Linked DNA regions of Drosophila melanogaster. The protein of the gene in region 3 interacts with the protein of the main gene of each other region in a pairwise test. Each region holds a gene or a part of one and is shown on either strand. Other genes may lie near its edges. The genes, in order: Cdc6, CG3706 and Arp10.

What was found.
Region 1: the proteins of Arp10 (region 3) and Cdc6 interact in a two-hybrid assay, tested with the Drosophila melanogaster proteins (one large-scale study listed by BioGRID).
Region 2: the proteins of Arp10 (region 3) and CG3706 interact in a two-hybrid assay, tested with the Drosophila melanogaster proteins (one large-scale study listed by BioGRID).

Annotation. Positions count from the first base shown.
Region 1 is NT_037436.4:8,630,979-8,635,687, forward strand, and holds Cdc6 (cell division cycle 6), read right to left. Parts: upstream 3,092-4,709; 5' UTR 2,972-3,091; coding exon 1,402-2,971; intron 1,324-1,401; coding exon 905-1,323; 3' UTR 531-904; downstream 1-530. Other genes in the region: Zasp66 (Z band alternatively spliced PDZ-motif protein 66), read left to right, coding at 3,605-3,805, 4,024-4,103, 4,703-4,709.
Region 2 is NC_004354.4:930,400-934,346, forward strand, and holds CG3706 (uncharacterized protein), read right to left. Parts: upstream 2,077-3,947; 5' UTR 1,964-2,076; coding exon 629-1,963; 3' UTR 532-628; downstream 1-531. Other genes in the region: CG32815 (uncharacterized protein), read left to right, coding at 3,140-3,947.
Region 3 is NC_004354.4:19,644,031-19,647,851, forward strand, and holds Arp10 (Actin-related protein 10), read right to left. Parts: upstream 2,147-3,821; 5' UTR 1,887-2,146; coding exon 1,816-1,886; intron 1,756-1,815; coding exon 1,603-1,755; intron 1,553-1,602; coding exon 640-1,552; 3' UTR 501-639; downstream 1-500. Other genes in the region: Sec61gamma (Sec61 gamma subunit), read left to right, coding at 1-63; Ranbp21, read right to left, coding at 3,545-3,821.

The DNA.
Region 1 (4,709 bases), on a different chromosome or scaffold from region 3:
GAGGTTTTTCGCCTTACTGCTCCCTCAGAAATATATGTATTTTTGAGGAATAGGAATATAGAACGCCATATACCTATAGATACATTCATGCATATATCTAGCTGGCCTCTCTGCATATAGCTTATTATTCAAACATTTGTTCGCCTTTCGTCAATACGCGTCGAAAGGCAACCAGAGTTTTTGAAACATATTTTTCATTGCGCTCTGGTTGTGTCGGTGGTGCTCAATGTAATTCATACCACTCAAATGGGGATATTTTTAGAGCAGAGAGCGCAGGAAGAACAACAATAAGCCAGCAAATAAATAAACAAAATGATTATAGAACAAATTAATTTCATGTCGAGATGGCCAACAAAAGCCCACACAAATTCAGAAGCACTGGTGTTAATTTGACTGGTATGTTCTGAAAACGCCTCAGAAAACAATGGCAACAGACTTTCCCTAAGATTTTCACAACTTTTGGCACGACCCAAGATTCAAACTTGCGGCGCAGCGAAAGTGGAAAACGTTTTCACTTTTGCGTTTTATGTATTGCGGAACTATCTAGTTTATTCTTATTTGCTTAGGGCTAACAGGAAGGGGATTCTCTATAACTTATTGGTCAACGGATCGGATTAGAAATAGATTATGGGCGCAACATTTACTTAGATTTATGACACACACAAAGTCTAAAAGAATCGATTCAATTAATAGTCAGAAAATAGCAGAAAATGTCGAAAGTGACCGTCAAATGATATTTCAAAATATTTCAGTGCTTGCGCCAGCCACGAATTTTAAAATTAGCGTCAAAAAGTATTCCTATACATATACGTTCGTCCCCAAGGTGAATGAAAATGAGAAAAATGCGCAATTAACCAGCGGTTTGTCGGGCACACTCATTTCCTAGAGGTAATCGTCCAGATCGTCACTTGCTCAGGCAGGCGGTATCGCTGAGGATCGAGGCGATCAGCTGCTTGTCGCTCAGTGCCGCATGCACCTCCTCCTCGTCCCACTGCAGCAGAACCTTGTGCAGGCGCGGCTCCTTTTTGCGCATGATTCGCAGAATGCCTCGGGTCTCGACCAGATCCACAGTCCCAGTGAACTCCGCTTGGTCCAGGGCCAGGATGTTGCGTTTGGCGCACACTCTCCTGTAGACCTCGTGCAGGCGACCCATACTGATGTCTTTGTTGCGCTCGTTGCGCAGCATCAGCACCAGGGTGCACAGCATTAGCTTTTGCTGCAGCGGAAATGATGCCTCGATGTCCTCCTCCAGATTCTGTGAGGCACCGTAGACCTTGTTCAGCACTGCAGCCACTTGGGTGACCTGAACAGGCTTTAGAGTGTCTGAAATAGTCAAGATAGGATTTCTTTTTAACACATTCTATAAATTTATCTTTATATACTAAAGAAACGAAGGTTTACCTTGCTTTTCCTTGGCCTCCACCGCATCCTTGCCCTCCAGCTGCAGGGCCTTCATATTGAACTCCTTTTCGCCATCGCGCTTCTGCTGCTCTGCTATCTCGACCACTCGTCGTCCAATGTCCAGGGCCCTTCGCACATCTCCACTGATCGCACTCACCTTGGCGGCCAGCAGCTGCAGGGTCACGGGTGGAAAGACGTCCAGCACTTCCGCCTCAGCCAGACGCGACTTGAATATCTCCACGATCTGCTGCTTGGAGTAGGGCGGGAAGTGCATCAGTCTGGGCTTCAGCTCGCACCTTGCATTCAGTCGCATCAGCGCACGATCTGTGAGATCCAAACTATTGGCAATGCCCACGAGCAGTATCCTGGAGCCGGGAAGAGCTGGCCACTCGAAGATCGTGTACAACACCTCCTGCCTGCTGGTGCAGAGCTGATCAATCTCGTCCAGCACCAGCAGAAGCATTCGCTTTGCTGTCTTTAGGTGACGCTGAATGGCCTCCAAGTGATCTCTCTCTGTGCGACCGCTGACTTTGAGCTGCAGTTCGGTGCATAGTTTCTTGTAAACTGCTCCTACACTTGCTATGCTGGTGCAGTTAATGTACACACGTTGCAGACGCTTGGAGAAGTCGGGATCTCTCAGCAGTAGCGATAGGCAGGCGGTCTTGCCTGTTCCTGGCTGACCGGAGACATAGAGGCTGCCGGAAGTCTGGCTTTCCAGGTGATTGCTGAAGAATTCACGTAGCTCTTGGAGCTGGGACTCACGTCCTGGCAAGTTTTGTGTCTCGGCGCTGTTGAGCACTCGTCTGGCGTTTTGGTATTTGTTGCGTGAGGGAGATGGCAGGTTATTCTGTTGGGTTTCCTCATTGGTTTGGATATTGCTTTTTTCTTTAGTTTGGTTTTTATTCGGCTGCTTTGTTGGAGGTTTCTCCTGCTGCTTTTGCGCTAATGGATCCTCCTGCTGTTTTGGCCGAGGCTTTGCCTCGTCCTTGGCTTGATGTTTCGGCTGCTGCTCAGCCGTTTCAGTCTTGTGTGTGGTCGCCTCCACCTCTTCCTCCTGGCGCTCGTCGATGCTGAGTCTGTCCAGCAGCCGCGAAGGACTGATCAGGTGCTGTGGCAGTGGCTGCAACTTCCTCTGCTTCGGCGGCGATCCATGAAGCGGGTCCACCTCCGAATCCTGTTCGCCCTCCAAGAATCTAGCGGTGGCCTCACGGTTTTCCTCCTCACGTTTGGCCCGTGAACTGCCAGCTGATTGGACTGTTTTCTTTGTGCTGCGTGGCGTCTTTGGCAGCTCCGATTGAGCCACCTGCACTTGCGATGTCCTGCGCCTGGAGATCTTGTCCATTTTGTTGAGCACGTTGCGGTTCTCGTTGTTCTCTGAAACGGGGCTGGTCAGGTCATAGATCGCCGTCACCACCTCCTCCTCCTCGTCGCTATCGGCAAGCACTTTTTTCGGCTGCCTGCGTTTCCAAACTTCCGAGCGACGCGGCGTCTGCGTCGACGGCGGCAGCGGAGAGGCGGCGGTCGCTTTGCTGATGCTACTAAGGCGCGTGGAGCGGCGTACGGCAGCCATTCTTTAGCTTAGTTTATTGATCAGCAGTTAGTTACTATTAAATACGAGTTAAATAAGCCACAGCGTGCGTTACAATTTTCAGCTGGCAGTCACAGTTAAAAAAGCGCGCAAATTGAGTTTGCCATTCGCCACGAGCAACAGCTGATCAAGCCTGGTCTGGTCATCTGGCAGCTCTAGCCCAGAGCTGCCTATTGTCGATCGCCTATCGATTAGGCGCGCATAGTTACAACATTTCAAACAGCAGTCCGCCTATATTGAATTACTTACATACTCGCGTGTGGACGGCCTGGTAAAAATAAAATGGTCCGCGGCAGATAGAAAACACAAATCGCTGGACGTTGAACACGCTTACGTAAGCGCCTAAAAATATTTCCCCTGGCTATGGGATATTTTTAAAGTATATAAACGGGCGCACATAAAATGGAATTTAGATATAGCGAAAAAAATTATGCACACACACGCTCGAAGGAGAAATACGTAGCACAGTGGGCAAAGATCTGGTGATTTCTAGAAACTCTTTTAATCTCTGTCTGATTTATTTATATTATCATTTGCCGCAACGGCTGGTCGGCCAAATGTGTGCCCCATTTCGGCGTAAACAAAGTCGTTAATCTTCACCGATCCGCTTTCCAGCCCTACCGTACAACTCCGCTGGTCCTGCCCGGCGCCAAAGTGAAGAAGGATGCGCCCACGACAGAGTCCTACTTGAGGCACTACCCCAACCCGGCTGTGCGCGCCCACCCAGGACACGACTACCATGACAGTATCATGAAGCAGCGCGTGGCCGACACCATGCTGCACAAGGTGGTCGGTTCGGAAGCCGACACTGGCCGCGTAAGTACAGGGGACTTCTTAAAGTCACACCCACATAATGGAAAATTACAAAAACTAGAGTTTTCTACATTTAAAATTGATATTTTCAATGTTAACATTTCGAATTCGTGACCTGTAGTCTTTGTTCTAATCCTGTTACGAAATTGATTGTATTTAATTTAAGTGTAAGTTGTAATGGGTTTTACTTACATTTGTGTACATATATCCCCCGATTTTAGGTCTTCCACAAGCAATTCAACTCGCCCATTGGCCTGTACTCCAACAACAACATCGAGGACACCATCAGATCCACAGTTCCGTAAGTTGTCACCCAGAAATGTACCATCTGGAAACTCCTATGCTTAGCTCGATACAATGAAAAAAAAAAAACACTAATATATGAACTTTTGGAATTCGCTTGTCAAATTGAACTTATAAGCCTATGAATTACGCTACATATTCTTTGGATTTTGCAATTTACGAATAAACCTGCGTAGAGTTCTTCGAAATTTTTGATGCAGCTTTTCTTTTTGCCAGAGAGACAGAGAGAGCCACTCGAAATGCGCCAAGTAGCTTGAAAACTAATAAAACGAGTCACGAACACACGGTTACGAGTAGCCTAAGGTCCACATAACCCGAAAAATTGGTTCCTGGTTAAGCTGCGGCCATAATCCACTAACCCAAAAGCCACAAAATCAAAGTCGAAACGAAATTTACTAAACCGATGCACACACGAAATGAGAAACACACACAATTCGAACATACGATTGAACACGAAAACCAGTCCATAGATGTTGTACGTACTACTTACTACTGCCTACTGCCGGATCTCTGTTTTACATGCATTTATATACATTTACATATATAAATATACCACTCTCTATATATCCTATATATATTCTATGTATATTGTTGTAGCTTCGCC
Region 2 (3,947 bases), about 19 Mb from region 3:
GGAGGGTCATGCCCGGCACTTATCGGCCCACCATAAGCTGACATTGCGGCAGGTCGGAACCGGACGGCAGCATAATGCTCCATTCAGATCCCGAGCATGGTTTATTTTGTTGGATTGAAGCTATCTGCCCCGCCGCTCGCCTCTTATCTGCGACACCTGGGCACTTGGGCCCAGTCTTGGTGCCTGGTCTTGGGTTTTATTGGCCCGACGGAGCGATAAGTGGGGCCCGTTGTCTTTTGGGTGCCATAAACCGATGGCCCGAATCGCCATTATTTATTGGGAGAAAAACCGAAGTAGCTGTCCAATCTAATCCGTTCGTCTGTCGCATGCTAATTTATGGGCGACTAATCCTCACGGGGGGTCCAATTCCTCCACCAGCGATTCGGTAATCTTCCTCATCGACCCGAGTCCACCAGATTGCAGCTGCACCGGATGGCCTCCAGTGGATATTGCTGTTGGATTGTTGGTTAACTGAATTAGTTTGGACTTACCGATGACATCAGCGCGGCCAATGACTTCAGAATCTCGAATGTCATTCAAACAAAATCTCTTTATTTTGATAGGATGGGTCTCCCCCATACTTTTACATGCTATCTTAAACTGAAAACAAAAACAATTCGTCGGCGTCCTAGAAGATGAAGTCTTCGTCCTGGCCCTCCTCTTCCAGCAACGAGAGGCTTCTCTCGAAGCGCTTGATGTCCTGGTACCAGCCGGGGTCCCCGGACGATATATCCTCCGGCCTGCCGCCCTTGTGGCGGTACAGGAACTCGGCGTGGCCCTGGCCGGGAACTCCGTTGACCGTGCAGGCCACAAACTGGTTGAACACCTTAGACTCCCAGTCGCCGCCGACGTAGCGCAGCGCGGAGGCCTCCACCTGGATTTGCACGAGGTACTCCCGCTCCTCGGTGCGCACAATGAAATTCTGGTGCTGCGGCGGCGTTCCCTTTTCGCCGTACGAGTACAGCTCGAAGTTGCTCCCGGTCAGCGGCTGATACTGCCGCTCGGGGCTGCACACGTAGCCCACCTTCAGGGAGGACAGGAAGAAGGACGGCTGACTGAGGCTGCCCACCACCATGCTGCTGCCATCGTCCATAAAGAGGGCAAAGTACACGTACCGGTTGATGGAGCTTAGGCAGCGCTCGGTGCCGAAGCTGTGGTCCCGGAAGCCCACCATTTTCAGCGCCAGCTCCTTGCCATCGAGCGTGACCTGGCCGGCCAGTTCTCCGTTCTGTTCGTAGTGGGTGCGCTTCTCTACGATGTGGTTGACGCTGCGCAGCAGGCTGTAGAACTTTTCGTTCCAGGCCTCTCTGGCTATGGAGTCGGCTATCAGGGCGCTGCTCAGATCTCTGTTGTAGTCGAAGTGCTCAGCGGAGGAGCTTTCGAAACGGAGGTCCAAGTCCACGGCTACGTCCTGCACGTCCGGCCCTTGAGTTTTCAGCAGTCCGGAGTACTTGAGCCGCCACACACGCATAGATGCCTCCTGGTAGACGTGGAAGCCTCCACCCTGGAACGCGTTGCTCTCCGCTCCATCCGCGGTGGTGAAGTATACCATATCGGGCAGATTCGGCGAACTGAACAGGCCGCTTTCGGGAAGCCACAGGTACAGTGCCGCCTTGAGGACTCCGCGCCTCCTTCGCTCCAAGGTGACCATTAGTTTCTGGCCCTCCTTGTTGGCCGCCATGAAGCTGACCACGTCATAGCTCTTCGGGTCGTTGCTGAGCTGCTGCGGCCTGTCGACCTTGGCCAGGTGCTCCTCGGAGCCGAGCAGCTCCTCGTTCCGACGGTAGATGCGGTACCTCAGGCGGCGAAGGACAAGCAGGGCGATCCAGAACTTCACCCGGTAAAAGATGCCTTTCAGTGGGTACTTGCCGAAGATTAGTGGCGGCTTCAGGCCCAGTAGCTTAAGTGCCACGACCACCAAGGCCGTTAGAATGCCGAAGATCAGCCCGAGCGCTGCGATCATGTTGTGTCCCAAGATGCTCAAAATCTGTTCAAAATTAAATCCTCTTTGGAGTTCCGCGGAATGTCGATCCTCGTCAAAAATGCTCCGTTACCGAACGGCTTGGCCAATTGGACGCGACTGCGAGGCCTGCACTGGACAATGTGTGGGGAAGTGGGTCTTGTGTCCCGCTTATCGCCACTCGATAAGCCGCCACCGTCTAAACCCACTTTTCGGCCCCACCTCCTCGGACTGGGCTTATCGGGTCGGAATCGACGGGCTTTGCGGCGATGCATGACTAGCTCGCTAAATCTGGATCTGTCTGCGCTCGCGATTTCTGATTGATACATTAGCTGGACTCGTCATCGTCATCGTCGCCAGGAGCGGCCGATAGCCAGCTCCAGATAGCCGTGGTGCAGGCTATCTTCTGGTGCAAAGTCTGCTTGCGTAGAAGTTCCACAACGATTGGCCAAGATAAAAAATTGCATAGACCGAGTGCTTCAGCAAATGTGTTCGTGGGTACTTGGATGTGACCCGACTGGATGTAGTGGGGCTCTGGAGCTGACAATCTCGCCAAAAGAGAGATTTTCCAAGTCGATGGATGTGAAAACTAGCTGGAGTGCTGAAACCTAGCCGTTAGAATTCGATTCAAGTGCTTCAAGTGCCAGACTCCCATTGCCAACACTAGAAAATGTCCTTAAGGGACGCGAAGAGCACTTGCCAACACTCGGAAATCGCGCCTGCGCCGGAAAACAACAAGCGCCTAATCAATAAAAACATAAAATTTAGTGCGCAAGGAGCATCAGCATCAGCAGCAGGAACAGGAACAGGACAAAAACAATATTCCCCAAGGACTCCAACAGAACGCACAGCACCTTCCGTTGAGGCCGAGAAAGCCACATTCGATTGGCAGGAGCTTCGAGGACAGAGGATACGCAGCTACCAGGTCTGCAGCCCGCAAGAGTGAACATTGAGGATTTGCTGTCGCAAAGGTAACAACTGGGAAAAGTGTTGGAGGAGGGGGGGGGGGGGGGTCGCGGAAGTGGAGGCAGTTGTGACTCGAATAACCAAACTCTTTTGGACCAGGGCCCATCTGAGGCTCTGAGCAGCCAGGTGAACCAGTCAGGTCCAGGGAAGAAAGCTCCAGAGGATCGAGGCAGCCGCGGAAGCATCCCAAGCGCATACGAAGAACAGGACAAGATGTACAAGACCATCAGGCACGGGGAGAACAGCTTGCAGTACACGATTCTGCCCCAGAACGACGACTTCCGCATCGAGGGCAAGCTCTCGGGCTCGGGACGATCGGGCTCCGCCGGCGGGGGAGCCTCCTCCACCGCCTCCGTCAAGGCCAAGGGCCAGCGACGCCGGCGATCCTTCTTCGCCTACTTGGGCTTGATCTTCGTGTGCACCGTGATCATTGGCGCCGTGCTCATACCCTTCCTTGTGTCCGCCGAATGTCTGCCGAACCCCGCAGAATGGTTCTTGAAGACCAAGGCGGCCCTGATCCACAGTCCGCAGCCAGGCGGTGGAGATTCGGCTGGCACTTCCTCCATACTGCCCACAGGATCGCCCTTTCTGCAGCAGAACGTGGGCCGGAATGTGAAAATTGTGAACCGGAATGGCATTGAGCAGTTCGTAATTCGGGTGAACAAAACCAATCCGAGTGCTAGCACCACCAGGAGCACCACCACTGGCCCCAACATCGTGGCCACCAGTTCCAGCAGCAGCAGCAGCACCTCCACCACAACGACGACGACAACCGCTCCAGCCCCCACAAGCACAAGCACCACCACTACGACAACCAGGGAGCCGCCGGTGACCACTCCGAGGTACCCGGCCCCGCCGCCGCCTCCGCCGGCGACCACGATCACCACCCGCATCATCCAGGTGCCCCTACTCAAGTCCGCCGCCAAGAAGCCCATAATGCCGCCAGTGCTGGCCAAAGTCCAGGGGCCGCAGATCCAGGCCGGAGGAGGCCAAAACTCCAGGCTGCAGGTACAGGCGGGCA
Region 3 (3,821 bases):
TTCATCGGCTTCTTCGTTAAGTTGATACACATCCCCATCAACAATATCATCGTGGGCTCTTAAATGCGCTGAGTGGCAAGGAAACCACCAATCATCCAATCATCCATTATAGCATACATCAGATCAACGTCTTTTTTTTTCGTTTAGTTAACATGCATTATATGTATGGACCATGTGCATTCAGCGAATGCCTTTCTAACAAAATTCTACACAAACGTACGAAAACGTATTGTAATGTTTCGATATTCCATTCATGAACAAGTTAGTTAATAAGATTCAAATGTAAAAAGGAATCACCCGTCTTCATAGCATTTGTTTGGGGTGCGCATCCCCGCTAATAAATGTTAAATTGATTTTCCGTGTACAAATGAGATTCTTTTAACTCTGAGAGACGCAACGTTACATTGCTTGAAGAAAGTAAAGTTGTAAATGAAGCTGATAAACCGACATCATCATTAGAACCAAGAATAAATGTCCAGAAAACGTACAAGCAATATTTTGTTTAAAGCTCGTTAGCCTATATTTCGTAAATATTTAATACCTATATATTACAGAATAATAATCAAGAGTATGTTAGTACGCGTAACCAGTAAAGCGCCGAAGCGTACATATTTCCATCTTCCGGGACTGCCCTCGAGTCTACGAGCCTGTCGGCCTATTATCGCACAGGTTGCTCCAGTCGGGAACGTGCTCGCTCTTTAGATACGTCTCCTTGACCAGCGATCGTGTCTGGATGAGATCCGTCGCGCCGCACAAGGCGCCGCCCAGCCAGGCAGTAAAGTTTTGCTTGCCGACAGCATTGAAAAACTTGAACTGCAGCTCGCCATGGAAGCGTTCGGCGTAGAACGGATCCTCGGTGAGCAGATGCTGCAGCTCCTGGCGGAGGCGGGCCAGCAGACCCTGGACCATTGAGCCGCCGCCCACGAGGAACACACTCTCGACCAGGGCACGTCGCACGTCTAGTGTGCAGTCGAGAATGGAGCGCAGGATGAGATGCGGCAGGCTGTCCCGCTCGTTGCTGGCCTCGAACATGATCTCGTAGGCAGACTCCCGCAGGAGGCCGGGCACCTGGATGACCGCATCGTTGTCGCTGACAATGTAGTCCACGTCTGGCGCGGGAGTCGGCTGATTCTCGTCGCCGTTGGCGCGGGCCTTGGCTCTTTCCATGGTGGTCACAAAGCAGGTTCGCACCTTGATGTCCTCCAGCACGCTTTCTGTTAGCAGGCTCTCCTTAACGCCACTCTCAACCAGCTGCCGCTTGATCTCCGCGTGGATGGCGCTGCCTCCGTAGCTCTGATCCTTGAAGGCGGCCATGATTTGCACCCCGCTGAAGACGGGCATAACGCTGGTCTCGCTGTAGCCAACGTCCACCACAAGGGCAGTGGGCACTGCCAGCGTAGACAGCGCAATGAGATGCACGGGCACGAACAGCACGGAGGAGACGTCGAAGTGGACAAAGAGCACGCGGGCCAAGGTTTCACGCAGCACAGTGGATCCGAACACGTTCTCCACCAGCACGAACTTGCGCTCCTTGGGGCTGACCAGTAGATGCCTAGAAGGAAATTACATTGCAATAGAAACCAAAGCCACCGAGTCACCTACTTGAAGAAGATCGTCTGCAGAAAATCCACTAGCTGGTCGTACAGCTCCTCCGGAGTGTCGTAGTCGAACAGACGCTTCCGGATCCCCGTCGTGGTCATCACCACCTCCGTGGGCATGATCTTGCGCGGATACGCCTCCGCTGCGAATCCCAGCCTGAAAAGGGTGCAGTGATGACTTCATACCACTTTCGCCGAATTATTTGCGTTTGCTTACTTGGTGTAGGCGGTGCCAATGTCGAGGACAATGGGCGGCTTCTCCTGCATCACGCTCTCGTAAATGGGCATCTTGGCTGCTGTCTGCTGGCTGCTTGCTCCTTTGCTGGACGAACCGACTAGACCATGGAATGGTATATTGTTCAGTTCGCTTAATTTTTGGCCAAAACAAGAAGTTATCGGTGTGCGGAAATCATCGATTGACGATGTAGCGAGCAAACACCCTGTTTCCACTAATGGCATCCGTTTTACTGGCACGCTTTTCAAATTTCTGGGTAACTTTAAAACTTTGCCTATTGGTTTGAAATACATTCAATTTGGTATTTTGGTATTTTATGGCTTTTAAAACCCAACAAGATAAAATTTTGAAAGTAGCTCGGAATCATTTGGTGTCAGTCGATTATTCTGCTTTTAAGAGGTCTAACTCTTACGTACAAATAGAATCAACTTTACTTTAGTTTATTGCAGTGTACATACATATGTATGCTTTTCAGTAAGTTTACAAAACTACTTTATCGAATTTAAGAAGTTAATTTCGCGAGTTTGAAGCTAATAATTATAATGATTCTTGTGAAATTAAATTCATATATCTTAAGAACAACTTTTGTTCAATATAATCGCAAAGTCTCCGGGCGCGCTTCGTCACTACATTAACTGCCGTCCACAGTGATGTTTTCTTGCATGGATATCGTCCTGTTTGAAATTATTATATTGCGTATTACTAAAACAAGTCGGTTCCACTTTGAATTTTTAAATTTATTTCAAATTTATCTGCTTTATCTTATTTCGATTTGTGTTTTTGCACGGTCGACCGCTTCGATTTCATTATGTTTTCTTAGTATCCTGGTGTGTTTTTGGGCTATAATTATTATACTGCATAATGCATGATGCATTCGCGGTGCGGGATGTGTGATCATATACAATTTGATGTATTATATAATAATAACTTTTGCCTATCAACTAAACCTAAGCGTAATTTCAGAAATATTCCTTCAAATGATAAATGTGTACAATTATATAAATTACATTATGCCTGCGCATAGGTAACTATACAAAACGAGGAAAGCACAATTCATTAAATAATTAATTAATTAACTATGTATAAAATGGTCTTCTGGCGTCTCTGCGAAGCACCTGGGACCTGGGGCCATAGGACGAGGGCTAAGGATTGCGGATTGACGGTTGTGGGCCGGAGTATTGCTAACTAGCGATTCTAGTAGTTCCTTTGAGCAAACAAGTTTAACAAATTTCGAATAATAAATAACAAAGCAGTAACAAGTCACGAGTCACCATTTTCCTCCAGAAACTGGGGGGGAAACGGTTCGGATCGAAGCGGTTGCGATGCCCGCATGAGACAAATTCAATAAAAAATTGCTTCATTGCGGGTACGCTTAAAATTTAGTTGTTAAAATAAATAAATTAATAACTGTAAGATCTGATTGGGAACTGGGACTGGGACTGGGACACGGACTGGGTCATGGTCTTGGACAAGGGCGAGAAAAAGTGCGAACTCATCGTCTAAGCTAATTTACAGTTACATTCAGTTCAGTCGTCGCTAGTTTGGCAGCTGAGGTGGCCGTGGTCTCGACATGCTCCTGATCCCGGTCCTCGACCAGGACAGAGGTGGTGTCACTGGTGGCGCCGCCTCCGCTGCGACGCCTCCTCCTGCTTCTCCTATCCTGTTCCTGTTCGTTTGTGTATCTCGTTTTCTGCTTCCGCTGCGCTCCGTGTCACTTCTCCGGCCCAAAGAGCCTGGCCAGACTCGCGTTCTGATTGCTATCCATGATGTCAGCCGTGGTGCCCATGGATCCCTTGGCCTTGTGCGACTGCATGGGCGGCAGATTGGCTATCTGCACCTCGTGCCGGAACAACTGGTTCACGCTGCGTCCGACCAGCTGGGCGGTCAGCTTTTTGAAGATGTCCTTCTTGGCGCGATCCACTTTGTTGCCCTTGACGGGCGCCACGGCAATCTTTTCGTCGAACTTTTGAATGTCGGCCGCATTCACG